Linked DNA regions of Pelodiscus sinensis. The protein of the gene in region 2 interacts with the protein of the main gene of each other region in a pairwise test. Links are inferred from orthologs where the notes say so. Each region holds a gene or a part of one and is shown on either strand. Other genes may lie near its edges. The genes, in order: DTNB, CEP63, CCDC14 and TBC1D15.

The links.
Region 1: the proteins of CEP63 (region 2) and DTNB interact in binary tests that used the Homo sapiens proteins (3 or more experiments, as listed by UniProt). The two-hybrid records come from large-scale screens. The link is inferred for Pelodiscus sinensis from reciprocal best matches to the Homo sapiens genes CEP63 and DTNB.
Region 3: the proteins of CEP63 (region 2) and CCDC14 interact in binary tests that used the Homo sapiens proteins (3 or more experiments, as listed by UniProt). The link is inferred for Pelodiscus sinensis from reciprocal best matches to the Homo sapiens genes CEP63 and CCDC14.
Region 4: the proteins of CEP63 (region 2) and TBC1D15 interact in binary tests that used the Homo sapiens proteins (3 or more experiments, as listed by UniProt). The two-hybrid records come from large-scale screens. The link is inferred for Pelodiscus sinensis from reciprocal best matches to the Homo sapiens genes CEP63 and TBC1D15.

What each region holds. Positions count from the first base shown.
Region 1 is NC_134713.1:428,654-437,018, forward strand, and holds the start of DTNB (dystrobrevin beta), read left to right. Parts: upstream 1-5,247; 5' UTR 5,248-5,401; intron 5,402-6,891; exon of another isoform or gene 6,892-6,974; intron 6,975-8,365.
Region 2 is NC_134720.1:1,059,661-1,067,114, reverse strand, and holds the start of CEP63 (centrosomal protein of 63 kDa), read right to left. Parts: upstream 3,213-7,454; 5' UTR 2,932-3,212; intron 1-2,931. Other genes in the region: ANAPC13 (anaphase-promoting complex subunit 13), read left to right, coding at 4,499-4,597, 6,989-7,114. UniProt on the Homo sapiens protein: Required for normal spindle assembly.
Region 3 is NC_134717.1:10,227,214-10,234,564, reverse strand, and holds the start of CCDC14 (coiled-coil domain-containing protein 14), read left to right. Parts: upstream 1-4,320; 5' UTR 4,321-4,457; coding exon 4,458-4,490; intron 4,491-5,346; exon of another isoform or gene 5,347-5,515; intron 5,516-7,351. UniProt on the Homo sapiens protein: Negatively regulates centriole duplication. Negatively regulates CEP63 and CDK2 centrosomal localization.
Region 4 is NC_134711.1:65,588,738-65,596,678, forward strand, and holds the start of TBC1D15 (TBC1 domain family member 15), read left to right. Parts: upstream 1-4,730; 5' UTR 4,731-4,910; coding exon 4,911-4,934; intron 4,935-7,941. UniProt on the Homo sapiens protein: Acts as a GTPase activating protein for RAB7A. Does not act on RAB4, RAB5 or RAB6.

The DNA.
Region 1 (8,365 bases), on a different chromosome or scaffold from region 2:
AGGCAGCTGTAAATAGTAGCTTTGTGTCTGAAGGTATTTTTTTCTTCATATTTCTTATCTGAGAATGGCATCTTTTTTCTCCTATGCATTCTGACCAGTGCTCTCAGGAAAAAAATAGAGATTAAATAATTACACAGGCACCTGTTTTCCTCAGTGCAAACCATTAAACGGACAATGACAAGGTAAAACAATTTCTGAGACACAGGTGGCTATTCTGGCAGCAGTATCAGTCCTAAGAATGAAGACACATCATCTGCAAACCTGGCTGATACCGTCTGACATTTTTGCAGATTTCCCATAAGTACACTGGCACTTCTGAAGCAGGGCCACAAGCAGATACTAGTGGGATCAAATTATCATGTGACCCTGGGATGACCAGCAGTTGGTCCGAAACTTTTTCATTAAGAAACAGACATGCCTAGATCAGAATAATGAACTGCTTTACTGGCCTTCCAGTACCAGGACATGTGCATGAGGGATGCCATACCAATCCAGAAGTGGCTTGCTATAGCCATTTGGAAGCTGGCAACCCCAGATTGCTACAGGTCCATGGCAAAACACTTTGGTGTGGGCAAATCAGCTGTGGGGGTTGTGGAGGATTGTGAAGCAATTGGGAACATTGTTCCTGCAGAAGCAGTAGGTATAAACAATGGTCCTGAAATAATTACTGACTCTGAGAAAATGGGCTTCCCAAATTGTGCTGGGGCTATCAGTGGGACTCATATGCGCACAAATGAATTATTATATAGGCCTTGGTGGATCACAAAAGCGGTTCATTTGACACCAAATTGGGATGTACTAGCTAAGGATGTGAAAGGTTAATCACTAAGCATCGCCCTAAGTCAGGGGATGTGATGTATCTTGACTTTAGCACAGCTTTTGATACAGTCTCCCACAATATTCTTGCCTGCAAGTTAAGGAAGTATGGATTGGATAATGGACTGTAAGGTGGATAGAAAGCTGGCTAGATTGTTGGGCCCAATGGGAAGTGATCAACAGCTTGATGTCTGGTTGGCGGTTGGTTTCAAGAGGAGTGCCCCAAGGACTGGTTTTAGGGCTGGTTTTGTTCAACATCTTTATTAATGACCTGGAAGAGGGGATGGATTGCACTCTCAGCAAGTTTGTGGATAATGCTAAGGGGGAGAGGTAGATAAATTGGAGGATAGGTATAGGGTCCAGAGTAACCTAGACAAATTGGAGGATTGGGCCAAAAGAAATGTGATGAGGGTCAACAAGGACAAATGCAGAGTCCTGCACTTGGAATGGAAGAATCCCAAGCATTTTTACAGGCTGGGGACCGACTGGCTAAGTAGCAGTTCAGCAGAAAAAGTCCTGGGGATTACAGTGGATGAGAAGATGGAGACCGTGTGCCCTTGTAGCCAAGAAGGCGAATTGCATATTGAGGTGCATTAGGAGGAGCATTGCCAGCAGACCCAGGGAAGTGATTATTCCCCTTTATTTGTCACAGGGGAGGCCACATCTGGAGTATTGCATCCAGTTCTCCCCCCTGCTCCCCTCGTTACAGAAAGGATGTGGACACATTGGAGAAAGTCCAGTGGAGGGAAACCCTAGGAGGAGACGCTGAGGGATTTGGGCTTGTTTAGTCTGCAGAAGAGTGAGGGGGGATTTGATAGCAGCCTTCAACTTCCTGCAGGGAACTTCCGAAGAGAATGGAGAAAGGCTGTTCTCGGTAGTGACAAATGGCAGAACAAGGAGCAATGGTCTCAAGTTACAGTGGAAGAAGTCTAGGTTGGAAGTTAGGAAACACTGTTTCACTAGGAGGGTGATGAAGCACTGGAATGGGTTACTTAGGCAGGGGGTGGAATCTCCATCCCTAGAGGTTTTTAAGTGCCAGCTTGACAAAGTCCTGGCTGGGATGATTTACTTAGGGTTGGTCCTGCTTTGGGCAGGGGGCTGGACTCAATGACCTCTTGAGGTCTCTTCCAGCTTTGGGATTCTGTTACTCTAAATGGATGATACTTACCAGTTCCAGTTAACCAATAACAGGTGTTGGCTGCAGCCAAGGGCAGGGGGCTGCTCCAGCCCTGCAGGAAGCCCCTCTGCAGACAGGAACTGCTGTCATTCAAAGCAGCCTCTGTCATTGGGTAGCCCAGGTGCCCCACAGGCAGGGCCTACTCCAGTGGAGCCTGGGAGCTGGCAGCAGCCCCATTGTGGGGTTGGGTGCAGAAGCCCCACAAGGTCAGGGCTGCTCCAGCTGGGCTGATGCAGTCTATAGCCCAGATCCCACTTTTAGTCATTTAACCAGTTAAATGTCTAACATTTAACTGGTTAACTAATTAACTGGGATTTTACATCCCTAGTACTCGCAGGGTGCATGTTTGGATTTTTCAGAGCCCAGGATTATAACTTCATGGATAAGTAAGGATCTTATTCCCTTCAAGAGATATTGTAAATTGAGTTTCTGTCCTCACTGTTATACCAGGGAACTCTGCATGCCACCTTGTCACATGGCTTACCATACCTTGACTTCAGAGGGTATGACCTAGGCAGCCCATGGCACCAACAGGCTGAAGACATAAAATGCACATATGTCAGACAGGAATCCTGAGTCCAATAGCTATAGAATAGTTCACCAAAGGGTGACATATAAGGTCTTTACTGAGAGCCAATAGCCAGTGGTCATCACCATTATTGTGAAATGTATGAAACAACAGTATTTTAAAAGCAATGTATCCCTACTGGAACTTATGTTTTAAAGCCTTGAAGGTTAAAGGCAGGTCACAAAAGTGACATGCCTCATGTCTGTTTCTCACTATACTAAGTTACCAGCTAAGCAAGGCAGAGACACTGATGAGACTTTGAAGTCAAGAAAAAAATACACAGCAGCAGGATGCATGGTTTATTAATAAAGATCAAAGGACTGCTCTGATATATCTGGGATTGCCAAGGGTGAGGTAAACTTAAGAAGAGAATAGCTTTTGAATTAAGTCCCGATTCTTGTTGTTTTATATGTAACCCTTTGTTTTCAATAATTCTATTTGATATCACCTGACTCTCTATATTTTGTTAAATAGATATGATTCTTAAAAAAACCAAATAAGTGCTATGTATTACATTTGTGGACAGCAAGATTTTTAATTCTGAAATGGAAATTGTGCTGGCTGTAAGATGTTTTAGGTAGGAGTCAAATTTAGAAACAAAAAAAAGTGATAACTACTCCAAGATGTGTATGCAAACCAAATGTTGTCTGCCTGAGACACCAAAATATGACATTAGATTGTCCAGTTATTCGGAATCATAGTGCATGCTCTGCTAAATTGCTTCCCCTTAGTATGGCTATAATGCCCAACTGGCCTCTTCAGAAGGTGGAGATTACATGGTTTACTAGACTCTGAGACTTCTTCAGTGTAGCTCTTTTTTAAAATGGGATCATTTAAAAAGGTAGGCGTATTCTCCTAAGCTTTTTCCAATATTGCTTCTCCAAAGCGATAGTGTGTACTGTCTTCTATCTGAGGTAAATTCTAACATGCCAATGTGCGGATGATCAGACCAATACTTTGAACACAAAGTACAGGTAAATTAGGTTACAAGAAACAGGCGATTTTGTTAATGGCTGATGGAGAGGAGATGAGGAGCCCTGTATCTTGGGAAATCCTGGCTCAAGTGTCCCCCAAATTAACCACTAAGCCTATCCTTCATCTCTGTGAAGCATAACAAATGTCAAGGTGCTGTTGGTCACCATATGGATTGTAGAGCTAAGAATAGTAGTATTTTAAATAGTGGCTGTCAATTAACCATAGTAAAGCTGTTGCTCTGGAGTAATAGCTGGTGATGCTGAAGAGTCCGCTTCACTGACTGATAATGATGATCTCTAGCCCAGACAAGGGGGGAAAAAAGGCTCTTCTACTAATTTACTATCATTGCTGAATTTGTGGCTCAATTGAGTCGTCATGCTCCAACATTCCTGTATTTACGGTTCTGCCTCAGGTTGCTGCTTCCTGGGAATGTTCCTTCCTTGCCTCTGCTGGTGCCCTGTCCAGGCCGGAGATCATGTGATTAGAGGGGCTTTGAGGCATATTGACAGAGAACTCTGCCAACGCCTAACCAGAGTACAGCAAACTGTAAGTGCTCAAAAATCATGGGACTGGCATCTATCTGTCCATTCATACACACCCTATGTATCTATCCCCCCACACCTCCTCTAGCTATCCATCCATTGCCATGCATCCCACACCCTCTCGATCCGTCCATCCCCATACACCCCCTCGATCTATTCATTGCCCCACACCTCCATCTATCTCCCTGCTATTTATCCATCCGTCCCCATACACCTCCTTTATCCCCCCTACACCTGTCCGTTCATATAATCCTAGAGCCAGAAGAGATCTCAGGTCAGCAAGTCCAGCCCCCTGCTCTAGGCAGGACCAATCCCAACTAAATCAACCCGGCCAGGGGTTTGTCAAGCCGACACTTAAACACCTCTAGGGATGGAGACTCCACTACTTCCCTAGATAACCCATTCCAGTGCTTCACCACCCTCCTAGGGAAAGAGTTTTTCCTAATATCCAACCTGGACCTCTCCCACCACAACTTGAGACCATTGCTCCTTGTTCTGCCACCCGTCACTACTGAGAACAGCCTTTCTCCATCCTCTTTGGAACCTCCCTTCAGGAAGTTGAAGGCTGCTCTCAAATCCCCCCTCACTCTTCGCTTCTGCAGACTAAACAGCCCCAAGTCCCTCAGCCTCTCCTCGTAGGTCATGTGCTCCAGACCCCGAATCATTTTGGTTGCCCTCCGCTGGACCTGTTGTCTGTCCCCTAAACTGCCTCCATCCATCCCGCCACCCCCCCACCCCCCCCCATACCCCCCCGTGCCCCACCCCCGCTATCTGTGCCCCATCCAGCCCCCCCCCGTTACCTGTGCCCCATCCAGCCCGTCCGTGCCCTGGCTGAGTTGCGAGCCTGAGGGGAGCGCGGGCCGCTCCACTGCGGGGCGGGGCGGGGGGGGCGGGAGCCGCGGGCCCAGGGAGGCTCGGCCGCGCACCTGAGGCGACGCGCGCGCGCTCGGGGCTGCAGGCAGCGGCCCGTTGGCGGAGGGAGGGGGCGCGGCGCGGAGCGGCGCTCGCTGATTGGCGGCAGAAGCGCGAGGGCGCGGCGCGGAGCGGCACTCGCTGATTGGCGGCAGAAGCGCGAGGGCGCGGCGCGAGTCGCCGGACAGAGCCGTTTGCCGATTGGCTGAAGCGCTCGCTCGTCCGAAACCGCTTCCGCGAGGCGGCCGGGGGAGGGGCTCGCGGGGCGGTTTGAGCGCGCGCGCGGAGGCCGCCTCGGATTGGTCGGAGAAGGCCTCGCGAGGCCGGCGCGGAGGCGCTCGGGAGCCGGGAGCGGAGCCGGGGCCGCCGCCTGCCGCCGCCTTCCCCAGGAGCGGCCTCGCCCCCGGACAAGTGAGTGCGCCGGGCGGGGCGGGGCGGGGCTGCTCTCCCAGCGCCGTGCGGGGTCGCTCGCCGGGCTCCCGGGGCCGAGCCCTTCTCCTCGGCCGCCGCTGCCGGTCTTCCGCCCGGGCGCGCCTCGGGGCAGGGAGCTCGCTGCGGGCCCCGCTCCGCCAGCGCGCGCGCCTCCCCGCCTTTGTGTCCCTGCTGCGGGTGCTCGGCAGCGGCCAAGCGGGCCCTACGGGGGTGGGCTGCCCCGTGTGTCCCGCGGGGCGCGGGCTCCTCGGCCGTGTGCCCCGGTGTGAGCAGGTATTGGCGCTGGAGCGGCAGTGCTGTTACCGAGGTGCTTTCGGAGAGCCCCCCCCCCCCCCCCCGTTAGACACCAGCGCGCCTGTGAGAGGCCATTGCAAAGAGCGGAAACGAAACTAGGTTGTGACATTTCTGAGACTCCGACTGTGAAAAGCAAACAGGGGGAAAAAAAGCTCAGGTCGCTTTTATACAGGATAAAGAAATAAACAGCAAATTCCCCCTCCCCCCCTTTTTTTTGTAGGTAACTTTTTTAAAGATTCAAAAAGAAATTAGGGTCAAAAGTAGAAATTGCCCCAGAGAGTTTTCGTGTAATCTAGGTAATCACGATTGATTTAATATTGTGCGGTATTGAACACAGGACTCTGTACTTGAACCGATACATACATTACATTATTTAACCAGCTTTTTGTAACTTACATTTGATGTTATTTTTGACAAACACACAGTAAATATACAAAGTACATCTAAGTGAGAGATCAACTTGTGAAAAATAACGGTTGTACCTCCCTTAACTGAGACTCTCTGGTCCGGCAACATCAGAGCCCAGATATAGGGAAGTTGGGCCACAGATGGTGATACTGCTGAAAAGGAACTAGGGATTACAGTGGATCAGCAGTTGAATGAGTCTGCAATATGATATATTAGTACTCCCCAACTTTTTCACGATTACAAGTGTAGTATGTCCATCACTGAAGTTAACTGTCTTGCTCTACTCGTTGTGCCTCCACTGTAGTACAGAGTCCTGTTCTGCACGTCACGTGTTAGGAAATAAGATTTTACAAACTCTGCATGCTTTATCTTCAGAAAAGAGAACTGAGGGGATGCATTGTAATAATTTTCAAATGGATTAAGGACTGTTAGGAAGAGAACAGTGATCAGTTATCATCCCTATCCAATGAAAGTAGGGCAAGAAGTAATGACGTTGATCTGCAGCAAGAGCAGTTTAGGTTAGGGATGCTAAAATTAGGTTATTTTAGTAATCAAGTAGTCAATAGAATTTTTATCACACCAGGACCAAACCTTGCTTATCAGTTAATGCTATCTATTAAACTCACCTGGCTTCCAGGGAGGCAGCTTCACTGTGGCATCCGTGTCCCTGGGAGTGGAGGTGGCAGGGGCTGGAAGCCCAACTCCCAGGGAGGCTTTGTTGTGGGCTCTGCAGTATCTCTCTATATAAAAAAGTTTTTTCCTGCCAGATGACAGAATGTTTCTGCTGGGCGACAGAATGATGTCATCACGTTACCTGCATCAATGGGCTTTCTCAGCAAAGTGAAAGCGGGTAAGCGAGCGTAGCGAGCAAAGGTGCAGCCCCCTAAAAGCTTAAATAAGAAACATATTGAATAGAGCAAGACAGAGCCCACAGTGCTTGTAGCTGCTAAGATTTTCAGTGGTTAAAGAGTTACTGTTTTAGCTAACTTCTTACATCCTTTATACTTGGGGGTAGCCGAGTTAGTCTGTACAGGATAAACTTAGAAAACAACAAATGGTCTGGTAGACTAACTTTATAGACTTTATAGACACTTTATAGACTAACAAAACGTATAGCTGGTATCATGAGGTTTCGTGGGCACAGCCATCTATATTTTTTGTTAGTCTATAAAGTGCTACCAGACCATTGGTTGTTTGTTTTGCCTGTTAATTGTTAGTTTAACTAAAAAAAGAAACATTCAATCTTTGCATAAGCCTGTAACACCTCACAATCAACTCATTTCATAACTCCAAATAGATCTGTCACATCAACTCTATTAATAAACTACTATTCTAATACTCAGAACATCACTTTGAAAATTTATAGATGTTTGATATAATTTAATCTGTCCTAGCGCTCTTTTGAAATCTTTACTCATTATATCTTGCTTACATTAAAAACCAAGTACAATGTGAGAAGTATATTTTCATTAATGAACAAAACAAGTGGCAAGATGTTATGCAAACATGGTATGGTTTTAGTGTCTGCTACTATAGTATACAGTCTTTCAGGATGTTGGACAGAAAATTATACATTTGTAGCTGTGTGTGTACTCTGAAATGTACATATTCAAAAAATTACTTGCTTTGCAGTAATCCAGTAGAGAAGAGCAAATTTTATCTGAAATTTGTTTTGGGTGTGGCAAAGGCCACATAATTCAGGTGTGCCAATATATAATTCTGTTGTCTTCATTTTGTCTCTCTAATGTATCTCATTGTAAATCAGGCCTTGATTATAACCGTCGGTAAGAGTTCATATTTCCTTCCTTCTCATCAGTATAAAAAAGCACTTATTTATTTTGATTTTCATTTATGTTTTTATTTTACATTGACGCCATATCTTAGCCTTTCATTACACAGGTTGAACCTTTGTGATCTGGGACTCTCTGGTTCGGCTGGACCACAGATGTTGCTGGGCTAGAGAGCCTCAGAACAGAGGTTACTGGCAGCTTGGACCAGAGCTGGCTGATTGGGGTAGTGTAGCCCATAGGGCACCAGAGTCCGCAGCTGGCAAGACTGGGTAATTGGCAGGGATGCCAGAGCTGGCAGGGCAGGGAGGCAGCAGAGCTCACAGTGGGCTGGGGAGCTGGTGAGGCTGCTGGAGTCCACATGATGGTGCTGCCAAGCCCGCAGGTAGGCCTGGGAAGCCTCTGGGGCCTGGAAAGGGTGGGGCTGCAGAGCTCACAGCTGGTGGGATTGTGA
Region 2 (7,454 bases):
AAATGCCAACTCTTCAGACCCCATAAGTAAGAAGTTCCTAACAAAACAACTAGGGTGCGTCTAGACTGGCAAGATTTTGCGCAAAAGCAATTGCTTTTGCGCAAAAACAATTGCTTTTGCGCAAAAACTTGCCAGATGTCTACACTGGCCGCTTGAATTTGCGCAAGAGCACTGACTTTGTAATGTACAAAATCAGTGTTTCTTGCGCAAATACTTTCACGCTCCCGCTCGGGAAAAAGCCCTCTTGCGCAAAAATACTTGTGCAAGACGGCCAGTGTAGACAGGGAAGAACTGTTTTACGCAAAAAAGCCCCGATGGCTAAAATGGCGATCGGGGCTTACTTGCACAAAATCGCGTCTAGACTGACAACGGATGCTTTTGCACAAAAACACTTTTTGCGCAAAAGCATCCGTGCCAATCTAGACGCACTTTTGCGGAAATACTTTTATCAGAAAAACTTTTCTGTTAAAAGTATTTCCGCAAAATCATGCCAGTCTAGACGCAGCCCTAGTTTTTCAATGACAGATAGAAAAGAGCCTTCAAGCATCTTTCCCTCCTCTACCCCCCATCTCCTGAAGTGGTCCTGGATTTGTGCTTAGAAAAGTGTATTGATGCTGAAAGCATTTGTATTGACCTGCCACAGGTGTTTCTAGCTTTGAAAGGTAACGAGCTACTGGACCTTATAATTACATCACTGTATCATATTGCTTGTTTTTTTCTTTTCTGACACTTGATATGGTTCTAGTAGCAGACATTTTACAAAACTACAGAGTGCACTTCCAAGCTTGCAGAAGGCATAAAGCTAAAAATTAATGCTTTAACAATACAAGACGACAGCTGCTAAAGCAGCGTCAGATATTAAGCATTCAATAAAATGCTTAAGTATAACCCCAACTGTAAGTGCAAGAAGCATCGCTGAAGTGAATTTTAGGCTTGAGTACACAGGATGATATTCAGAATAATGGAATGTGTCCGTGTACACTAAGGATGTTAAATAATGATTAATTTACTAGTTGAGTAGTCGACGGAATTTCCATCAACTACTCGATAGGCACTTCTGCATTCCTCCTTTGAAAGTTTTACCACTGAAAAGAGGGAGGGTGTCTCCCAACTTTCCAAGGCCATAAAATAGACTTCATTTCTAGATCTCCTGAAGTGCAAGACATCGGACCTTACAATGGCAATTATTAAAGCAGGTTCTGAAATGTGCCCTGAAATAGGGATGTCAACATGTAGCCGAATACATGATTAATCGATAAACCTCTGCTGTATCAAAGGCAGCAGCGCAAGGCAACAGGTGGGAGCTGATCTGCATCGAGAGCCAATTTTTAAATCGGCTCCCCTCACAGACCAGCTCCCGCCTGCCACCCCATGCTGCTGCCTCCGATAGAGAAGGAACAGCGTGGGGCAGCAGGAGGGCGCCCCGTGAGTGGGGCCGGAGCACACTGGCTGCTGACCCTGCCCCCGGGGACAATCAAATAGTTGTGTAACTACTAAAATTTGATGCAGTTACACGACTAATCAATTAATCACTATCTAACATCCGTACCCCTAAAGTCAGCTAACTGGGCCAAGCATGGAGGAACCCACAGCCTCTCCACTGAGAATGCTCAGCCCCCTAGTATCCAAAATTAACAAAACCAAGCTCAGCCCCCTAGTATCCAAAATTAACAAAACCAAGCTCAACTTTTAAGTCAAACCCAAGGCAGAAAGTAAGTCTTTAAAAGTCCCAGATACTACTGGGATATTGAACTGTTACTCTGAAACACTGCCTGCACTGAGCCTTCCTGAACCAGTGCTGAAAATGACTTAAGTGCTACTGTTGCACAACTTAGTGCACTATGGAGTTTTGCATCTGGTATCAGGCACTGTCAGAGACCAGACTAGATGGAAGATGGACTGAAAAGGTGTCTCTACCAGTAAGGGAACTTCCCAGGTTCTTGGGGGGTTTGTCCATAGTCTGAACACAACATTCTTTTCCTACCAATTCAGTTTTTGTTCATAATTTGGGGCCCACAGAAATACCTGCAGTTCCAGGGTGACAAGGGCACCCAAAGCACAGTTTATAGACTTACTCATCAACACGTTTTGTGATAAAGGTGCAAATTCCAGTCCTAAGGTGTTGAAACATGTGCCTTCCCCACATCCCTGCAGTGAAGATACAGCCCCAGTGGGGTGGGGGCACAGAGCCTTGCATGAACAGCCACAGCCAGACTCCAGGCTACAGTCACCTCATCACACAGACTCACAGCCAGGTAAAGTCAGACATTGACCCAGTGTGACCCAGCCCCACAGGAACTGTCACGGGCTCACAGACGGACAAAAGGCTACAGTCCCCTCGTCACCCAGGAACAGTCAGACAAGGCCAGCCACAGTCAGACCCCCATCTACAGTCACCTCACCAGGCAGACAGACAGACAGACAGCAATAATATCAGGGATGGTCTAGACAGTACTGGGTCCTGCCATGAGGGCAGGGGACTGGACTCGATGACTCTCGAGGTCCCTTCCAGCCCTAGTATTCTATGATTCTATAAACAGCACCGCACAGGCGGGCAGCAGGCGACAGCCCCTTGTCTGCCAGGGACAGTCAGACACGGCGGCCAACCCCCGGCTACAGACACCTCGCCACACAGAAAGAGTGAGAGCTTCACAGCAGGGTACAGTCTGACCCAGCCCCACAGGAACAGCCACGGGCTCACAGACAGACAAAAGGCTACAGTCCCCTGGTCACCCAGGGACAGTCAGACACGGCGGCCAACCCCCGGCTACAGTCACCTCGCCACACAGAAAGGGCGAGAGCTTCACAGCAGGGTACAGTCTGACCCAGCCCCACAGGAACAGCCACGGGCTCACAGCCGGACAAAAAGCTACAGCCACCCAGGGACAGTCAGACAAGGCCAACAACAGTCAGAGCCCCGCCTCCAGTCACCTCAGCAGACAGCCAGCGCCGCACAGGCGACAGCCCCTTGTCCGCCAGGCACAGTCAGACAGGGTGAGGGTGAGCGCCTCACGGCGGGCACAGTCCGACCCAGGACACGCCCCCGCCGAGCCGTTACCTCCGGGCCGGCCTCTCTCTCCTCGGCGGACTCGCGCCGCCGCCTCTCTATGGTTGGCGCGGCCTAGAGTCGCCGGTCACGTGGTCCGCTGCTAGGGCCGCGGGGCGGGACGGGGCTGGCGCGCGCGCCGGGTGTCAGGTGCGGGGCTAGGCCCAGAGGCGGGAGGGGCCGGCCCGCGCGGTGGGGGGGGAAGGGCTGCCCCCGCCCCGGCCCCCTGCTGGGGCCCCTCAGCCCCGCGCGGGGGGGCTGCTCCCCGGGCCCGGAGGCGGGTGGGGGAGGGGACGCTGTGCCGGGTTGCTACTGCGCATGCCCGGCGGGGCGGAGCCTGGCGGGCGGTGCCCCGCCCCTGGGCGGGGCGTCTCCATGGCGACCGGGTAGCTGCGCAGCGCTGGTGCGGGGGGTGCGCTGGAGATGCTCTGAGGGGTCACTGCGGGGGGTGCCCTGGGCGCAGGAGCACAGCCGGCCTTCGCCTGTGTGGGGCCGACACCGCCGGGGACACAACAGGTGTTTGCGGTGGGGCCGGGCCGTGGCCCGTCACCCGTGGGAGGCGATGTCAGCCCCTTTCTGAACAGGCAGGGAAACAATCGGCCACAGGTCTGAGAGAGTCTGTCTGTTTCTACAGCGTGAGAGCGAGGGCCAGCGAAGCCAGGACGCCGCTTCCACTGAGCACAGCTTAAAGCAAGGGCAGGGGCGGGTTGTGCAGGACAATGGGATGCGCCTGGAATGGGATTGACTCTCATACCACCGTACTGAGAAGAGAGAGAATCACCAGGCAGGTCCCAGCCCTACCCCGCAGACACCTGTTAGGGAGGGCAAGGGGAGGCGCATCTTCCCCCAGATTAATACGAGGACATTGCTGGCTCCCTTTGGGGAGCACGGGGAAAGTGCACAGTGTGCTGCATTCCTCCCTCTGGCTGGGGAGGACGGGGCAGACGAGCTGTGCACTTTGCTCTCGTTCTCTGGCAGGGACAAGAAGAGGAAGAGCAAGTGACCCTGGTACAAAACTCAAGGAGCTTCAGCCTCTTTGCTTACCCCGCTACACACACACACACACCACAGTCCCCTGGCCAGATCCCCTCCCTACCCTCCCACTCTGACTCTTACCCACCCCACTTTCCCAGTTCCCTGCCCTGAACACCTTAGGAACCTGAGCAAAGCCACGTACATGTGCTAGTTTGTTGCATGGACAAAAACTGAATTGGTAGGAAAAGAAACATGTTCATGCGTCTCATAGGGCAATACAAACAATGGAGGGTATTAATAACTATGAAAAACAACTGTGCCATGCCCTACTGACTGTAAAACAGCCATTAAGCTATTTAAGAAAGGAGTCATGGCCAGGGCAAGCATAGAATCTAAGCTCCATCTTTTTGGGTTCTAGATATCAAGGATAATTTCTGCTTTATGTCGCAGATCTATCTGCATGTAAATTGTGCAAAGATGGACAGTGAAGTGCAGAGGGATGGAAGAATCCTGGATTTGATCGATGATGCATGGAGAGAAGATAAATTACCATACGAGGATGTAGCAATACCTTTGGTAGGTGAACACAGTAAGCTGCTTATAAGCCTATATTATGTGTCTACCCCCTTTAACCTCCTAACAGAGGCATGGCATAGGAAATGTGCCTTACAGTTCTGACAGTTGTATGAATGATGCTCCCTCACTCCAGGGGCCAGCTTCCCATTTATTTTATGCGGGGTGGTGGATTTCTTCCAGCTCTGCATATCTCCGGCTTGGTGGAGGAATAAGTGCTTCTCTCCCTGCAGCTGACTGCCTCGCTTTGGAAGGAGAAAATGCTTTCCCATAATCTAGGCGAGCTACCTGTTTCTTTGGAGGGTGGAATGTTTCTTTCTATCCTCCCCTCATACTCCTAGTACCACCAGTCTGTGAGGAGCGGGTTCCAGGACTAACCTCTTCCTCAGCTTTTTCAAGTGCTATGCTGCTGGCCCGAGTGGAGAGGGGAGGACCCAAAGACTTCCCCTTCACTTATATACTTCCAGTACTGCTAGCCAAGAGTGAAGAAGGGAAAACTCCTAGGTCCACTTAGCAACTATCTTTGATCTGTCACAGATTACTTGATAGCACACCCGGATCTTCACAGCCCCTTGTCTCTAGGCATAGATACAGCCTTGTTATTAACGGAAACGTCTCATTTAAGCCTGATAAATCTTGAGATTTTCTCCTTAATTAACTGGATAAAGCCCTTCCTCGTCCACTCTATTTTGACAGGCTGCCTTTCATGTTGAGACACTTCTCAGCCAGCCATGATTTTTGCTCACGGAGTGTATGTACTTCAGGCTTTTGTACCTGCATCACCTTTTGCAAAGATCCCTTCTTAGAGTAGTGATGGACTTCCAAATTGTAGGCCACTCATCCTGCTAGATTTCTTCCCTCCCACGTTTGCATACTCAAAACCTTCAAGCCTCTCTTTATTCTTACATTAGACAAAGTTTGTGAGAAGATTACTTGAAGGGAATTAGTCTCCTATCACAGACATATGCATAGCAACTCACTATCTTCACTTAGCCTCTGCAGGTGTACTCCAGCGTTAGGGAATGATCCGATCTCCACCGTGCGGAACTGTGGTTCTCTTTTTAAGTTCTGGAAGCCCAAACTCTCCTACCTGTTGGAGTTTATTGGGATGTGCCTCGTTAAGCTGGCTGAATACAGAAACCTCTTCAGTGCTGGTACTTGTTTCATCTTATGGTCAATTAACTAGATAGCGTCACTCCTTTTTGGGTAGTGGGTGGAGGGAGGAACTATGTAACTACTCTTGGAGACTGAGGCGCATGCCCAGAGTGGAGGAAGAGTTCCTTACAGCATACTTCTGAGGTTTCCTGGGCTTGCCCTGCAGATGCTCATACTAACAGTAGAAAAGGCCTGAGTGTGGACCTAAAGACCCCATGAGACCTGAGCCATTGACATAGGATTGGCTGTTGGCAAGCTAAAAACCAGAATGGCAGCTTTGGGATATTCCTTCATTCCCAAGTCAAGAAGGAGCTGACTAAAAAGTGGGTGGTGCTTAGAGCAATGGGCAGTAGGTGACCACCAGTAGCTTGAGCCCTAACTGCTGCTACTGCCTTCAGAGTCTGAGCTGAAGCCCATTGAAAACAATGAAAAAACTCCCATTGGCTTCAGCAAGCTTTAGATCAGATCCTCCGTGAACAAATTCCTAGAGTTTGGGGAGCTCTTTTGTCTCTCGCTAGGATGCCAAGACCCAGGAACGAGATGATATTCTGGGGAATTACGCATAGTCTAGCAACTGCACAGTTATGATAGCACTCGCAGAGAAAGATGGTTAAGAGAAAAACAAAACAGTTACGCTATTGCTCATCCTGACAAGCTGTAGACTCATCAGTTTTCTGTTCCTAAGGCAAAAGCACCTCGGGAGTGCTTTCCAGTGTTCTGTATGGCACTAGCACAGCCTCGCCTCTTTAGAGCCATTGACCTCAAATTCCAGACAGAGTGCTGCTTATTTTGCTCTTTGTTACCTTCTGTATGACAGAAAAGAGAGATTTGAGAGAATGCCTTATTTAAAATTCGGACATAGAATACTTACATATTTGGACTTTATTATGGGAGAAAAAGGTTGCACACAGGCAATAAACTATTTGCGTTGATATCTACTTATTCTATGTTTACCAGACATTACAATCATTTATTTTGCTGTGTACGCTTGGGTCAGCCAGCCGTCAAGTTAGGAAATCAACTCCTAAAACGAAGTACAGAATTCTTGTGGAAATGGAATGCCCATATTTGGATTTGTTGATATTTTTAGTGGAAGCAGTATGTACAGTACATGCTCTTCTGATGCTCCCTTCAGCCTTAGTTGCAGATGTGTGCATGTACCAGTATGAAATGATGCTAAGCTGATCTTGTCAGGGTGCTTTGAAGGTATAGAATGCATTGCCCCTTTTGTGTTCTCAGAACGAACTTCCTGAACCAGAACAAGACAATGGTGGTACAACAGAGTCCGTAAAAGAACAAGAAATGAAATGGACAGACTTGGCTTTGCAATATCTTCATGAGAATGTTCCCCCAACAGGAAACTAGTAAATCAGTGTTATTTCATGGAATGATTTCAATGCAAGAAGACGGTTTCCAGCAGATCCTCACCATCTCCTGTCTCACTGCTTTAACGAGTCAAAACTTTTAAAAAACCTTCTGGTCTCAAACAGCTGTTGTATTCCACAAAAGCACATTACAGTTTAAAAGGCCCCATGTGACTGATGTAAAATAACTATGACATACCCTAAAACTGAGAGGAGGTGGCCGAGTGCTTTTTCACAAATGCAAAAAATTCTGGAGTCCTGTTGACAACTTCTTTATAAGTTGGTGCCAGTTCGTTTAATCTTAATTGCTTTTTGTGTATGATCAGAGAGGTAGTTATCAC
Region 3 (7,351 bases), on a different chromosome or scaffold from region 2:
ATGTTTGGCAAATGCACCTTGTAGACAACTGACTGCAAGAAGAGGGGTTCTGCAGTGAGTGGTTGCCAGGAATAAGACAAAGGGAACTGAAGCAAGGAAAGGGCCTATAACTAAATCCTTAGAAGGCACATTGCATGTCTGTGCAGGGAGAGATTGCTGAGTTCTGGGAAGCCCACTCAGGGGCAGTTGATTGCCTGGCTGGTAGAGAATAACCAGTCTGAGAAGCAAGTTCCAGATCCCAGCAAAGCTTCTAGACTGCCCAGAGAGCTGGGGAATAGCAGGGGGTACTTGAGGCAGTAGCAGGGGTCCACCAGAACCAATTCCCCACTCAGCAGAGAGACATCCCAAATCAGGTTCCTTCCCATGGAGATGAAGAGATGGAAAATAAATTATTTGGAGCACTGGAAACATGAACTGGAGTTGGAGGAGAGGCAGGTCAAGAGGACTTGCCATGGGCATGTGGGGAAGGATGCCAAGATGCCAGTTTGGCAGGAAGCCTAGAATCCAAAGTGTGCCCCAGTGTAATGGGGGAGGGATAGTAATGTCTCCAGAACTGCTTTTGAGAAGGCTTCTGATTTGAACTCAACTGAGCCCATGGCAAGCTCCGCTGTTTAACTCTCCTGAGTGACTCCAAGGTCATAAAGGTGTTCAGAAACTGGGAACAAAGAGGTGTTACTCCTTGGCTACGTCTACATTGGCATGATCTTGTGCAAATACTCTTTAACGCAAGAGTTATTGCGTTAAAGTATTTGCGCAAGAGAGCGTCTACACTGGCATGTGCCTTTGCAGAAGAGATGTGCTTTTGCCCAAGAGCATCCATGCCAGTGTAGACGCTCTCTTGCGCAAGAAAACTCCGATGGCCATTTTAGCCATTGGGCTTTCTTGCACAAGAAATTCATGTTGCCTGTCTACACTGGCGTCTTGTGCAAGAACAGTTGCGCAAGAGGGCTTATTCCTGAGCGGGAGCATCATAGTTCTTGCGCAAGAAGCACTGATTTCACACATTAGAACGTCAGTGTTCTCGCGCAAGAACTCCCCGCCAGTGTAGACAGGCAGCGTGTTTTTGCGCAAAAGCGGCCGCTTTGGCGCAAGATCGCGCCAATGTAGACACAGCTGTTTGAACTGACATGTGAGACAGATCAGAAAAGATTTCAGCGTGCCGTCAAGACCCTGGGCATCACCTATAAGGAGATAAGCTCCTTGCTGGGAGAGTATCCCTGCAAGTGGGGAAAAAGTATGGGTGTCCACTTCTGCAGAGGACATATATCTGGTAGGATCGGAGCAGCTGTATAACATCCTTAAGATGTGGTTAGTGGACCAGATATACTGGCAAACAAGTTTATAAACAGAAGACCTGGAGCAGTAGCGTAAGCAAGCTGCAACACTTGGGTGGACCCCAATTTAGGGTGGGCAAGCAATCAAAGGAGGTTGGGTAGGAGGCATCAGGGCCACCTCTCCCCTCCTCCAGTCCTCTAGCGGGTGATAAGCTCTCTTGCCAGGGGCCCTAGAAGAATGGGGGGGTTGAAAAATGTGCACCCCCATCTGTGCTGGCCCCCCTAGCATTCCTGCAATAGCATGGGAATGGGAGATTTCCTCACTCTGCCTGGCACTTCTGCCAGGGAGTGAGGTTGGAGCATGGGAGTTTGTCCAGCTTCGTTTGCCCAGTGCTCCTGCCAGGGAGTAGAGTTCGGCGCATGGAAGCTTGCCCCTCTCCACATGCCTGGCACTCCTGCTGCAGAGAGAGGTGTGAACACAGGGGCTTGCCCCTCTCCAGTGATCCAACTGGTAAGAGGGAGGAATGGCATCGGACTTCCACTCCAAGCTGGGCATTGGCACCTCTGATCTACAATGGGAGCAGAAGGTGGTGATCAACAGGGAAACATTCACAGAGTGAAGAGATTCCAGGGCTGAAAGAACTCTTGTCAGTGTGGTGCAACTTGGATGCTGAGAGACTATATAATTTGCAGGAAGGTCCCAAACATAAAGGCATTCATCTTGCCTATGGCTCAGAGTCCAATGCAGACACAGGAAGGATGGCAGGGGTGGGGCTGGTGTCCTACAGCATGTGAGCTTTGCCGTACTACTAGAAAATGACCATGTCTCTTTAAGACAGGATCCAGCGATCCAAAGTTGGAGAGGGCAGGAGCCAATGATCATGTAAAGGGCTCAGACAGTGAGGAGGGAATTTTCCCTTTGAAAGTAGCAAAAGCGAAGATCTATGAAGCTCGGGTTACCTGCTTGTCCATAGCCAGATCCTTAGATCTGAGTGGAACAGTGGCCCTGCATGTGGGAAAGGTGGCTCACACTGACTCGGTTACTGTAACCAAAGCAGTGGGCTCATTGCCTATATGGGGCTAACGTGATGACAGCCGAGGTGATGGACCCAGATCAAGTAGTGCTTAATGCATGTCTAACTCCGAAGAGGGTGGCCAGTGGGAGGCAAAAGGACTGTGGAGAGATGATCTGAACAGCTGGTTCCAGCCAATGGAGAACAAAGAAAGGAAAGGAGGAGGTCCAGGCAACATGTTTACCCTGGACCATAGATGAAGGACAGGGGCAGAGTAATTGGAGGTGATGAATGATATAGGATGATCAGCTGAAAGGAGGGGGCTTCTGGACTGGGGAGAGAGAGCAGCCAGAACCTCCCATCCCCCCAAATGCAGGAGAGACCTAGATGTATTATGCTGAGGGCTGCTAGGCTTTGAGTCTAGAGAGTTTCCTGAGCTGGATTCAGATCAGAGCCAGCCCGATCCATCCTTAGGCCCCGGGACTTGGGCGCGTGGTGCTGCCCCCAGGCGCGCAGCTCATTCTTGCACCCCGGGAGCGCAGCACTTGCGCGGCCCTGGCCCCACCCGGCTCAGCAGCACTGCACGGCGCTCCTTACAATCGGGCGCCCCAGGCTATCACCCGGTCAGCCCGTAGCTTGAGCCGGCTCTAATTCAGCTGCTCAGGGAACCCTTCTGCTTTACACTCATTGCATTGTTCTCTCTGCTTATGGGGGTCCAGAACAAGTGGCCTTCCTGAGACAGCTCACGTGAGAGGTAGCTGTGCTGAAGAGTCAGAGAGGTACAGTTCCAAGAGGCGGGGGGCCTACAGCTTACTAGCCAAGAAACAGTGGCTCCCAGAGAAGGGATGTCATACTGAAAGGGGTTGGTCTCAAAGATTGTATGAAGTGAGAGTATGAGTCCTGTAAATCATGACAAGCTGTTGCCAGAAGCTAGGCATGGGCGACCAGGGATAGATCATTTGATGATTCCCTGTCCTGTTCGTTCCCTCTGAAGCACCTGGCACTGGCCACGGTTGGCAGACAGATTAGGCTAAATTTGGGGTAGGTAATAAAACAGCCTGGCTACGTCTAGACTGGCATGATTTTCCGGAAATGCTTTTAACGGAAAAGTTTTCCATTAAAAGCATTTTTGGAAAAGAGCGTCTAGATTGTCACGGACACTTTTCCTCAAAAGCACTTTTTGCGGAAAAGCGTCCGTGCCAATCTAGACGCACTTTTGCGCAAAAAAAGCCCCGATCGCCATTTTCGCGATCGGGGCTTTTTTTGCGCGAAACAAATCACAGCTGTCTACACTGGCCCTTTTGCGCAAAAGGGACTTTTGCCCGAACGGGAGCAGCATAGTACTTCCGCAAAAAGCACTGATTTTTTACAGTAGGAAGACAGTGCTTTTTGCGGAAATTCAAGCGGCCAGTGTAGACAGCTGGCAAGTTTTTCCGGAAAAAGCGGCTGATTTTCCGGAAAAACTGGCCAGTCTAGACACAGCACCTGTGAATGGTGTCAAGCCTGCAGGCTGTTTATTGCCCATCCCTGAGCTAGAAGGACCTTTGTTCTGACCCAGTCTGGCCATTCTTATGTTCTCACAGAGGGTCACAAATCTTCGCTCCTCTCCCCTTCCCCATTCTGCTGCGCACCCAAAAAAGGGCCAGTTCAGCAGTGCAGCTTGTTCTCGGCTGCGAGCGGAACAGGCAGCGGTTTGCTAGGCGTGACAGCTGCACAGGGCTGGGGGATTCCCGGAGGGGAACTGGAGCATTGCGGGGGAATGACTGAGCGGGGACCCAGTGGTTTGGAGACGGGACTGACTCCTGAAGCGGGCAGCCGGCGGTCACGGAGCAGAATCCGGCCGATTCCCTGCTCTCCGCGCAGAGCGGGCGGCTCCGGCCGGCTGAAGGCGAGGAACCTCCTGACTCACTGGGCTAGCCCGGCTTCTCTTCTACGATTGGTTGACTGGGCCGCGGTTTCCACCAATCCCGACCCTGGTTTCCTGACTCCGCCCTATCGCTCAGCCCGCTCGGGCTGCCGCCGGCGGCTTGCAAGGAGGGAGGGAGCCGGTAGGGGCGGGGCTGTCGCAGGCGTTGGGCCTGTCCGCCAAGTGGGGCTGGGATTGGCCGCGCGCTTGTGCCCCGGCGGTTGGCGGGCTAGCTCCGCCCCCAGGCTGGGGACAGAGGGAGCTATGGCGAGGCCGGGCACCCTCCGGCATCACAAGGTACCAGAGGTGGGGGCGGGGCGCGGGGTACGCGCGCTCTGGGGCGTTCCTCTGTGAGGGGGGGTTGGCCGCCTGGAGCGGCGGTGTGAGGGTCTCTCTGGGGGCCTGGGGCAGGGAGTAAAGAGCGTCCTTTTTCCGGGGCTCCCGGGGCGGGGGGCGGAGCTCTCGGGAGGGGGGGTCACTGACTGAGGGGGGTTGGGAGGTGACTGGGCTCCCTGGGGCGGGAAGTGGACTCAAGGGGCGGGGCTTGGGCGGAGAGGTGAGTGGGCTGCCAGGTTAGGGGTGTAAGCCAGTAGCCCCCCCTCCACCTCTATGATAAGGGGGGGGGGGGACAGAAGCTGGTGGTGGGAGGAGCTGACTGAAAAGCTGGTTCCCCTGGCCCAGCGCCATCTCTGCAGTGCTACCTGCTTTTCTCCCCCGCCCCCCATCAGAGGCAGCCTGGGAGGGTTTTTTGGGGGGACTGCTCTGGCAGCAGCCCAGCCTGGGCTGCCACAAACAGGCTGCTGGACCCAGCGCGAGCTGGGACTGAGCAGTCCCAGGTTGTGCTGGTCCGGGCCTGCTGCGGTGCTGCATTTTAAAAGTAGTAAGAGCTGGCTGGCTCTTGCTACCTTTAAAATGGTGAGCTGCAGCAGTCCGGAGACGGCGTAAGCTGCTTGGTCCTAGCTTGTGCCAGCTCCAGGAGCTATCTCTCCCCTCCCCCAGCTCTGCAAAGCACCTTCTCTTATCAACCAATCATGTAGTCCAGGGGTTCTCAAACTTTGTGATACCGAGACCCCCCCCCCCTCTAAGTTGCTCACGACCCCCCCCCCAGGGGGTCGGGACCCACAGTTTGAGAAACGCGGATGTAGTCTATACAAATTGTATCAACTACACGATTAGCCAAATAACCGCTCCTTGACATCCTTATCCTAGGTCAGGGGTGGGATCTCTGAGGGAGGTGACTCACAGTTCGGGGACTCTCTTCAGGAGGACTTGCAGGTAACTGGACTTACAAGTCCGGGGAACTCTCCTCTGCTGGTTACTAGGTATGTTAGATAGCAATTTAATAATTGTGTAACCGCATCCATTTTAGCAGGTACACAATAGTCCCTAGGTGCGGGGTTGGCAGCCTTTGTGCTCTTGGCCCCACTCCTGGGGAGCCCTCTGCCATCCCGTGCGTCTGCCTCTCTATTAAAGGCAGCAGCCCTCTGTCCATGGTGACCCCAGGCCTACTGTGGACAGAGGCTGCTCTGTTGCAGCCTTCCCTGCCTGCTTCCCACTACCTCTTTGGGAGGAAGCAAGGGGGACAGGTGGCTTTGCAGAGCTAACACAGGCAGAGAACTGGAATAAAAGCTGGCTCCCCACATGTATCCATTCCTGCCTTCCACCCCCTAGCCCCAACCTGCAATGATGCCTCTGAGGGAGAGGCAGCAGCATGGTGGTGAGGGGAAGACGGCTCCGTGGGATCTGATCCGCATGGGAAGCCAGCTTGAAAGCTGGCTTTCTGTGTGTACTGGCTGCTGCCTGCCCCTTCCCCTTCTGAACTGCTGCCTCTCTATAAGAGTCACCAGTGCGTGCAGGGGGAGGGAGGGGTACTCTTCAGGATCTGGTTCTTGTGGGGAACCATCTTAAAAGCAAGGGGGAGGGTAGTATGTGTAGTTGATAGGATTAACGAATAAGCCCAGGTTTATTTGTTAATCATGTAGTCTACTACATAGTGGTTACTAAGGACGGGTGGGGTTTTTACTGGGAGCCTAGATGTGGGATGCAGGACTCCCAGGGCCGGACTAAGGGGTGGGCGAGCCGGGCAGCTGCCCGGGCTGCCGCCCGGGCTGCCATCAGGCGCCGCACGCCCGGCTCCCGCAGTGCCCCCCACACCCCTATCCCCGTGGCTCCAACCAGCAGCGCCCTTCCCCCCACGGCTGCGGGACCCTGCATGGTCAGGTGCTGCGCGCTAGCAGCAGTTGCTGGGCCAGGCAGCGCATGCGCTGTGCGCCCCGGTAGCAGACCCTGAGCTGCCCGCCAGCGGCTGGGCAGCACATGTGCCGTGCGCACCGGGGTCAGGCCCGCGCATACACCGTGCACCCCGGGCACCCATGCTTGCTGGCTCCCAAAATGGCTCGGGCCAGCCCTGAGGACTTCCCACATGGGAGTGAATGATAGACTCAGTCTCGCCAAGAATAGGGCTTAGGTGAATCTCTGTGACTCTCCTGGTTGGTGGGGCTGGTGGCAATTCTCCCTCGTGCTCTCCTATGACCATTTGGTTTTATTTCCTCAAAGGCAATTGTCAGCAGCTGCTTAGCTTTATCTTTTGTTGTGGATTCATTCCCAAAATACATTTTACTGTCTTGTGAGTTTTGCAAAGTGTTACAAGAGGACATCTGAAATCTCTTTCCGACTTACTTGCGCTCTCAATCATTTAGATTCTCCCAGGTTTGAAAGTCAGGGGTTGCAATCTGCCTTTTTGTGTCAGTCTTAAGAGGAGAAAATTGCGGGAACAACATTCCCTTGTTCACATCACTAGTTTGCCTACTCATGTCAGGTTTTTGTATCATGCTAAGGATGTTAAAATATGGTTAATTGATTAGTCGATGGAATTTCTATTGACTAGTCAACTAGTCGATAGGCACTTCCGCATTCCTCCTTTGAAATGTACAAGCGCCCCAGCTGAGCCCAGGCTCCCCTCCTGCCCCTTTTAATTGTACGGAGGCAGCAGTTTCAAAGGGGCAGCCGCTGCATAGCTGATCAGCAGTGCAGCTGCTGTCCCTTTGAAATTGCTGCCTCCATGTGATTCAAAGGGGCGACAGGGGAGCCTGGGCTCCCTGTGAACCTGAGATCAGCTGGGGACTCCCCAGATGATCCGGGTCCTGGGGAAATGCTAT
Region 4 (7,941 bases), on a different chromosome or scaffold from region 2:
TTTTCATCTCTCTTTCTTTCCCTATTTGTGTAAAAAGACATGATCACTATCTTACTATTTATCACATTACTATTTCTACACTATTAGTATTAAAACATATTGGTTTGTTAGTATCCCTTATTTATATGCTGTTAGTTTTATTATAATTGCTAAACGTATTGGTATTACAATTAAATAATCTAAACTTAATCTCTAAACTTATCTTTTATTTTACCATTTTAACCACTTTTAATTCCTAAATTGATGGAGAGAGAAACACTCAAGGGAATGCGTATTTATTCTCCTAATATTCCTGTAAGCATGTACCCGTCACCTGATTTGTACCTTATGATGTCTGCATCTACTGCTGTATATTACTAGAAGATTTACCTGGCATTGGTCAGGCCCTTAACTCGATTAATTTTTTTTTACGGAAAATAAAATGAAAATGTACACACTCCATTTAAATCATTGCTCGAGGGTGTGACTGGGGATGATGGGTTCAGTACGCTGGCTGCCCCGGGGAGAGAGGACTATCCCAACCTTCTGTCACCGCAGCAGCTTGTGCCAACTTCAAGATATTTGCTGTTAGCACTGATCAGTACTATGTCAAGCACCATTTTAATGTGCCCTGATTTGTATCTACTATGTGTGTGTTCATTGCTTTTTTTGTTGAACTGGTTCAAAATATGTCCACAGCCTGATAACTGACACTGTTTGTAGTTGGTGTATTTAGTGAATGCCATTGTATGTGCTTAAATGCTCTTGTATCTGGAGCAGGTCTGGTACATGTGCTTCCAATCACTAAATCCACGGTGGTTGGACATGTCTTCAGAATAAGAGTGTCAGAGGAGGTAGCCATGTTAGTCTGTAACTTAAAAAAACTTAAAAAACAACCAGTAGCACAAAAACAAAAACCCCAACAACCCAAAAACATACAGTATCATGAGCTTTCGTGGGCACAACCCACTTCTTCAGATGAGTGGAGCAACAGGCACAGAGGCAGCATTGTGCCTACAAAAGCTCATGATACTATATATATTTTTGTTAGTCTCTAAGGGTATGTTTACACTACAGCGTTATTTCGAAATAAGCTATTCCGAAATGGTTAATTCGAAATAGCTTATTTCAAAATAACGTGTCTACACACAAAATGCATTTCGAAGTAGAGTTTTGTTATTTTGAAATAGCGCGTCCACACTGAGTGGATACTGAATCGCACTTAAGGCTGGCTGGAACCAGGTCTGGCAGGGCATCAGGTCAGGATTTACTTTGTGTGGCTGCTGCCTGAGGCTGTCTGAAGCCTGTGCTTAAAGGGACCCCTCCTGAACAGCTGGTTCCCTACTTGCTTGCCTACCTCGATGAGGGACAGCAAAGCATTTTGTCTCTGCGTGCTCTGGTTGCCCTCACTCAGGACACTACAGCACTCTGCAACATGGAGCCAGAGCTTCCCCGTGCACTCTGGTGCTTCTCTTGGACGTGTTGTTGCGAGCCTGGCTGGACTTTCAGCAGGCTGCTATCCGGGAGGTCCATTGGGGGGCAGTCAGTATCCAGGAGGCCCTGCGGGAGAGCTTCCACCCTGAGGAGCACTAACAATCTCCCTGGTCTGCCCCACTGGGGGCTTGTGCATCATTCCTCCCTAATTTCCTTCCACTTACTCCCCGCCCCAGCTCCTTTTCCTTATGTCAAATAAAATACATGTTTTTTCATAAACACAAACTGTCTTTATTTAACAAAGCTAGAGGGGGGATGAAACTCCGGTGAGACTGGGGAAAGGAGGCGGGAGAGGGGAGAAAAGAGGGTTGGAGAGGGGAGGGGGAAACCTGAGAGGAGGAAGCTGGAAGGGGGAAGCAAGGGGAAGAATGGGGAGGGGAAGCTCAGGGCTTACGGGTGGAGGGGGGTCTAGCCGGACCAACTTGATTTTCATGCGAATCTGCTCCTGGGTTTGCATATGGCCTTTGGTGGCCAGGCTGGCAGCTATCCTGCCATAGATGGCCACGTTCCTCCGTCTAGTGTGGAGATCATGGACATTGGGGGCATCCCCCTCCAAACCTGAATAAAGTCCATGATCTCCACCCTGGACCAGGAAGGCGCCCGCCCTCTCTGGGCCCTGGCAGGCTCCTGGGAGCTGGCAGACTGCTCCTGGGGAGCAGTGGAGGGCTGGCTGCCAGTGGCTTGCTGGCTCATGTTTTGGGGTCACTGGGTCAGGGGCAGTGACTGCTGGCTCTGGGCTAGCAGGCTTGGAGCTGGCACAGGCACTGTGGCCAGAGTCTACCCCTTAAAGGGCTCCAGGGACGGGAGAGGGGAGGGAAAAGAGTGTTCTTGGTTGAGGCTGGAGTGGCCACCAGTGAACCCTGGGAAGGCTGGAGGCCCCCTATTTCAAAATAAGTGTCTACTCAGCACTTATTTTGAAATAGCTATTTCGAATTTGGTGCTATTCCTCATAGAATGAGGTTTACCAAATTTGAAATAAGCACTCCGTTATTTCAAATTTATTTTGAAATAGCAGTTTGGCTGTGTAGATGCTAGGAAAGTTATTCCAAAATAACTTGGCCTGCTTCACATACCTGGCGCTTGTGCTGGGGAGCAGGGTGGGGGCTTACAAGCCAATACGGCTCTCTGGCAAGTCTGCCAGGCGGGAGGAGCAGGTCAAGTCCTCAACCAGGCTCCATGGCTAGAGCACTGGAAGGAAAGAATCATCGAATCATAGAAACATAGAACTATAGAACTGGAAGAGACCTCAGAAGGTCAACAAGTCCAGCCCCCTGCTCTAGGCAGGATCAATCCCAAAGAGTGGGGACAAGCCCTGTACTGCAACCCCAGACCTCAGAAGGATCACTGAGCGGTGGAACTGGGCAAGCCCCTGCACCCTGACCCTGCTCCTCAGCAGGGGGAGTGCTGAGCAGGGCAGGCAGTGCTGGGGCAGGAGCAAAGCTGAAATGCCACTGGGAGGGCCTGGATCATCAGTGGGTGGGCTATGGCCCAATCAGGCCCACGGGTGGCTAAACCACTGCTGCTACCAGTCAGTTGTGAATCAGTTTGGAGTTGGAAAATCCACCATGTGGACTGTGGCAATACACGTGTGCAGAGCCATTGCCTCCTGCTACAAAGAACTGCAACTCTCTGTAATGTGCGGGAAATGCTTGATGACTTGAGGCAATGGGATCCCCTAACTGGTGGGGCAATAGATGCAGGGGCAGCCCATGCGCCTACGTTGCTGTTGGCCCGGGGCTCCCGATGATGACGTCACAGGGCGCCTGGGCACCCAATGATTACATCATGGCCATTGACAGCCATGCAGGTGGGGGCACCGAGAGCGTCTTCTGCCTGGGGCACCAGCTGCCACAGCTGGCCTCAGGCAGCTCCTGAATAGATGGAATTTACATATCCCAGGCCAACTTGCAAAGAAGTACATCAACCAATGAGAATGCCATTAGCTATCATCTTAGAAAAACCATGAAGGCTACGTCTACACTGGCCCCTCTTCCGGAAGGGGCATGTAAATTTCACGAGTCGTTGTAGGGAAATCCGCGGGGGATTTAAATATCCCCCGCGGCATTTAAATAAAAATGTCCGCCGCTTTTTTCCGGCTTTTAAAAAAGCCGGAAAAGAGCGTCTAGACTGGCCCCGATCCTCCAGAAAAAGTGCCCTTTTCCGGAGGCTCTTATTCCTACTTTGAAGTAAGAATAAGAGCCTCCGGAAAAGGGCACTTTTTCCGGAGGATCGGGGCCAGTCTAGACGCTCTTTTCCGGCTTTTTTAAAAGCCGGAAAAAAGCGGCGGACATTTTTATTTAAATGCCGCGGGGGATATTTAAATCCCCCGCGGATTTCCCTACGACGACTAGAGAAATTTACATGCCCCTTCCGGAAAAGGGGCCAGTGTAGACGTAGCCTGCAAGTCAGGAGATTTATTTGGGCATAAGGTTTTGGGGCTAAAAAGCACTTTGTCTGTTGCACGGAGTGGTTTTTACACACCAAAGCTTATGCAGCCCAAATGTGTTAGTCTGCCATAGTGCACTCCTCCTGTGTGTTCTTTTTAAACAGCTAGGCTGTGTCTAGACTGGCAAGTTTTTCCGCAAAATCATCTGCTTTTGCGGAAAAACTTGCCAGCTGTCTACACTGGCCGCTTGAATTTCTGCAAAAGCACTGACGATCTCATGTAAGATCGTCAGTGCTTTTCCGGAAATACTGTGCTGCTCCTGTTCGGGCAAAAGTCTTTTTCTGAAAGACTTTTGCACAAAAGGGCCCAGTATAGACAGCACAGTACTGTTTTCTGCAAAAAAGCCCTGATCGTGAAAATGGCGATCGGGGCTTTTTTTGCAGAAAAGCGCATCTAGATTGGCCACGGACGCTTTTCCGCAAAAAGTGCTTTTGCGCAAAAGCATCCTGCCAATCTAGACGTGCTTTTCCGAAAATGCTTTTAATGGAAAACTTTTCCGTTAAAAGCATTTTCAGAAAATCATGCCAGTGTAGATGTAGCCTTAGAGACTAACATGGCTACTCCTCTGAGTCTGGTCCTGAAGAACAGCAGCACACAGGCCCCTTTGGACACAGGAGCCTAGCTCAGGCCACGCACCAGTGGAAGGGAACTGGAGCAGCACCGCCCCCTGGCCCCTCACACCCTGGGGGGGGGGTTAAACCCTTGCACGTGAGGTCTGGAGGCCGGCCGGTCAGTAGCGGGGTGTAGGGGAGGGGCGACGCCACAGGGCCTGGCTGGGTACAGCACGCGCCGGCAGCTGCTGAGTGAGGGCGAGCACGTGACAACCGTCCGCCACATTGGGGGTTTCTCCGCCGCCACGAGGCGACCGGCCTGCAGCGCATGCGCCGCACTCTCGGCCGTGGGGCTCGCGAGAGGCGGGGGGCCGAGGTTGTTGTGAAGCTGTTGGAAGCACGTGAAGCGCGCAACGTCATCATAAACACTAGTAGGGAAAATGGCGGCTCCTGCCTGCGGAAAGGTAACGAGCGGAGGGTGTGGGGGTAGGGAGGCGCCCGCTGCCCTGAGCGGGCGCGGCCTGTGCCGACGGGAAGGCCCGGCCGGGCCCTGGTGCTGCCGCGTGTCTCTGTCTGTCCTGGGCGGCGGGAGCGAGGCCAGGCCCCCCAGAGCGCTGGGCTGCACGGGGGAGCAGGGCTAGGTAGCCTGGCTGGCAGGGGACAGGGGAGATCCCTTCTGCTGCTGGGGAGGGGGCCCCTCAGGCCCTGGCGCCGAGTGTCCCCGTGGAGCGGCGGGGGGCAGAAGGGGATGGGATCCCTGCGCTGGTTCTCGGGGGACTCCTCAGTGGGGGAAGGGAGGCGCTCGGTGACAGGCAGCGGCCGCCTTCGCCCCTCCCAGGGAGCTGGTGACATCGGGTGCCTGGCCCGGCGAAGCGGCGTCGTGCTGCCCGTTCCCACCAGCCTGTCGTGCCGCAGCCCCGGTGCTGGGGGCGGCGGGTTGTTGGTCGGCTCTGCCTTAGTCTGGCTGAGGCAGCTCCGCTCCACTCGGCGGGGCGTGCGTCGCTGGAGAACGCCCGGCCGCCGGCCAGCCCAGCGCTTTGGTGAAGCAGTGGAGCTGTCCCGTTGTCCTTGGCCTGGTGTGCAGCAGCCTTCTTGCCAGGCTTTGGCTGGAGTGCAGCGAATGTATCTATCTTTCCACACTTTTGGACAGGGATCGGCAACCTTTCCACACCAAAGAGCCAAACTGCATCACAGTTCAGAACAGTGGTCAACAAAAAGCCGTATCAGAATGGCCGTGCCTGAAAATACACAGCTTAATATTCTTGATAATTGACATGATGATTGATAGTAGTATAAATGAAACTCTTTACTTAGACTCCCTTTGGCCAGTGCTCTGCAGCCACAAACGGACTTGCAGGGAATCATGGGACCCCCCCAGGTGGCAACAGAGCGGAGGTGACACAAAGGAGAGAAAAGGAAAAGAGTGGGCAGAGGAGATAAGGCTCTGGAGAGCACTGCTGAGAGATGGGGCTGGGCCGCTACAGGGCCTGGGGGGTGGGGGGGAGGAGGAGACAGAACTACAGGTTTGACCTTACCACCGTGCTGGGGCCCAGCTGGGCACATGTGCTCCCCGCAGGGTGCCCTTGTCCTTTGCAGACCTCAAGGAACCCGAGCACTTACCAGCCAGGTTCCCACCAGCCCTGTGGTGTGGGGCGGTGGGAAGCGACTCTCCACAGAACCCCCGGGAAGGCAGGAGGGAGACACTGGAGCCATTGAACCTTTCCCCTGAGCTGGAGCTGGGGCCAGGGCTGCATGATGGCTGCCCAGCTGTTCCTGAAGTGGGGACTGTAGCAGCTCCTGGGACTGTCAGGGCCAGATTAAGAGGGGGCTAGCCAGGCAACTTCCCGGGGCGCCAACCTATGGGGGGCACCTGATTGAAATGGTAAGGGGCGCTGTGTGCCCAGAGGATGGGCCGTGCACGCGCTGTGCACCTACTGCCCAGGGCGCAAGTATGGCTCAGTCCGGCACTGGGGCCGGGGCTGTGGTACGGCTGTCCCCAGCCCCTGGGGCAGCAGCTATGTGGCCTTGGCACCAGTCCTTCCGTAGCTCTAGCCCCAGCACATGGGGCAACTGTGTGCCATGCAGCCCTGCCCTGGGAGCAGCCGAGCAGCCATCACGTGGCCTTGGCCCCCCACTCTCCCACCAAGCCCACCAGCAGCAACAGCTTACTTTCCATATCCAGGGAGGGTGACAGCTGCTGTGTGAGGAAATGGACAGGATTAAAATTTTTTGTGTGCACCCGTGGGGAAATTTTTTGTGTGCACCCCTACAGGGAACTTAGCCCATCATCTGCCAAAAGAGCCATATTTGATTCTGTTGCGAGACGTAGATTGCTGACTCCTGCTTTAGGATGTTGTGTGGTCTGTAAATAGAACATAGTTTAAGATAAATCTAATAATTCAATATATGCAGGGCTCTACCATGAGTCAAAGGTTAAATGAGCACTCATTAGGTGCATTCATTAAGCCTTTGATTCATGGTAGAGCTCTGCATAGAACTATTTTATTAATCTCCCACATCATTTCATTTATTTTTATCCCACTTTTACCTGCAAAAACCTTAGATTCTGTAGGAAAGGCAAATACACACAAAAATATGGGTTACAGTTGCCAATTTTCCTGCCTGGATAAACTGTATGCCATTGTTGCAAACAGGTGCGGCATGTTTGCAAAAATTTGGTGGTGCCCAGTATGTCCTGACCCCACACCCGTTCTCCAATCAAGCTCTTCCCCTGCTTCCCTCAAGTCTCTGAGAGGGAATTTGGGTTTGCAAGGTGTTCAGGCAGGGTCATCCAGGGGCTGGCAAATGTCCTGGGAAAACTGCCCCCAGTGCCCCAGGACAATCCTCCCACCCCAAGGCTCTGCTCTTTCCTTGAAGTCCCAAACCAGTTCAGAAGCCTTCTCCCCCAAGCAACCTGAGCTGAAGGTTTGTTTGTGTGTGTGTGTGCGCGTGCATGCCTGGCAGGGCGTGGCAGCAGGCCTCATCACTAGGGATATAAAATTCTGGTTAATCAGTTAGTCAACCAGTTAAATGTTGGATCATCCTAACATTTAACTAACTAAGTGGGGTCTGAGCTAGGGACTGCTCCAGCCAGCTGTAGCAGACCCCAACCCCATGCTGGGTCTGGCTACTGGCTTCCAGCCATCTGCCACTTGTGCCCAAATCCCAGTCCTGGGACTAGGGTTTACTCTGCTTGCTCCCAGCCTCCAGTGGAGCAGCCCATACCTGTGGGGCACACAGACTCCCCCCTGTTTGCAATGGGCCCACTGTGGGACTGGAGCAGCCCCCTACCCATGGAAGGCAGGAAGCTGCTCCAGCCCCCACCAGTTACCCGGATCCAGTAAGGATCACCCATTTAGGATGATTGAGGCAGCTGCCATAGGGCCCACCAAACTCCCTCTAAGAACCCCTGTGGCTCTGGGTTTGGGTTCTGGGAGGGAGTTTGTGTTCTGGGTGCAGGCTCTGGGCTAT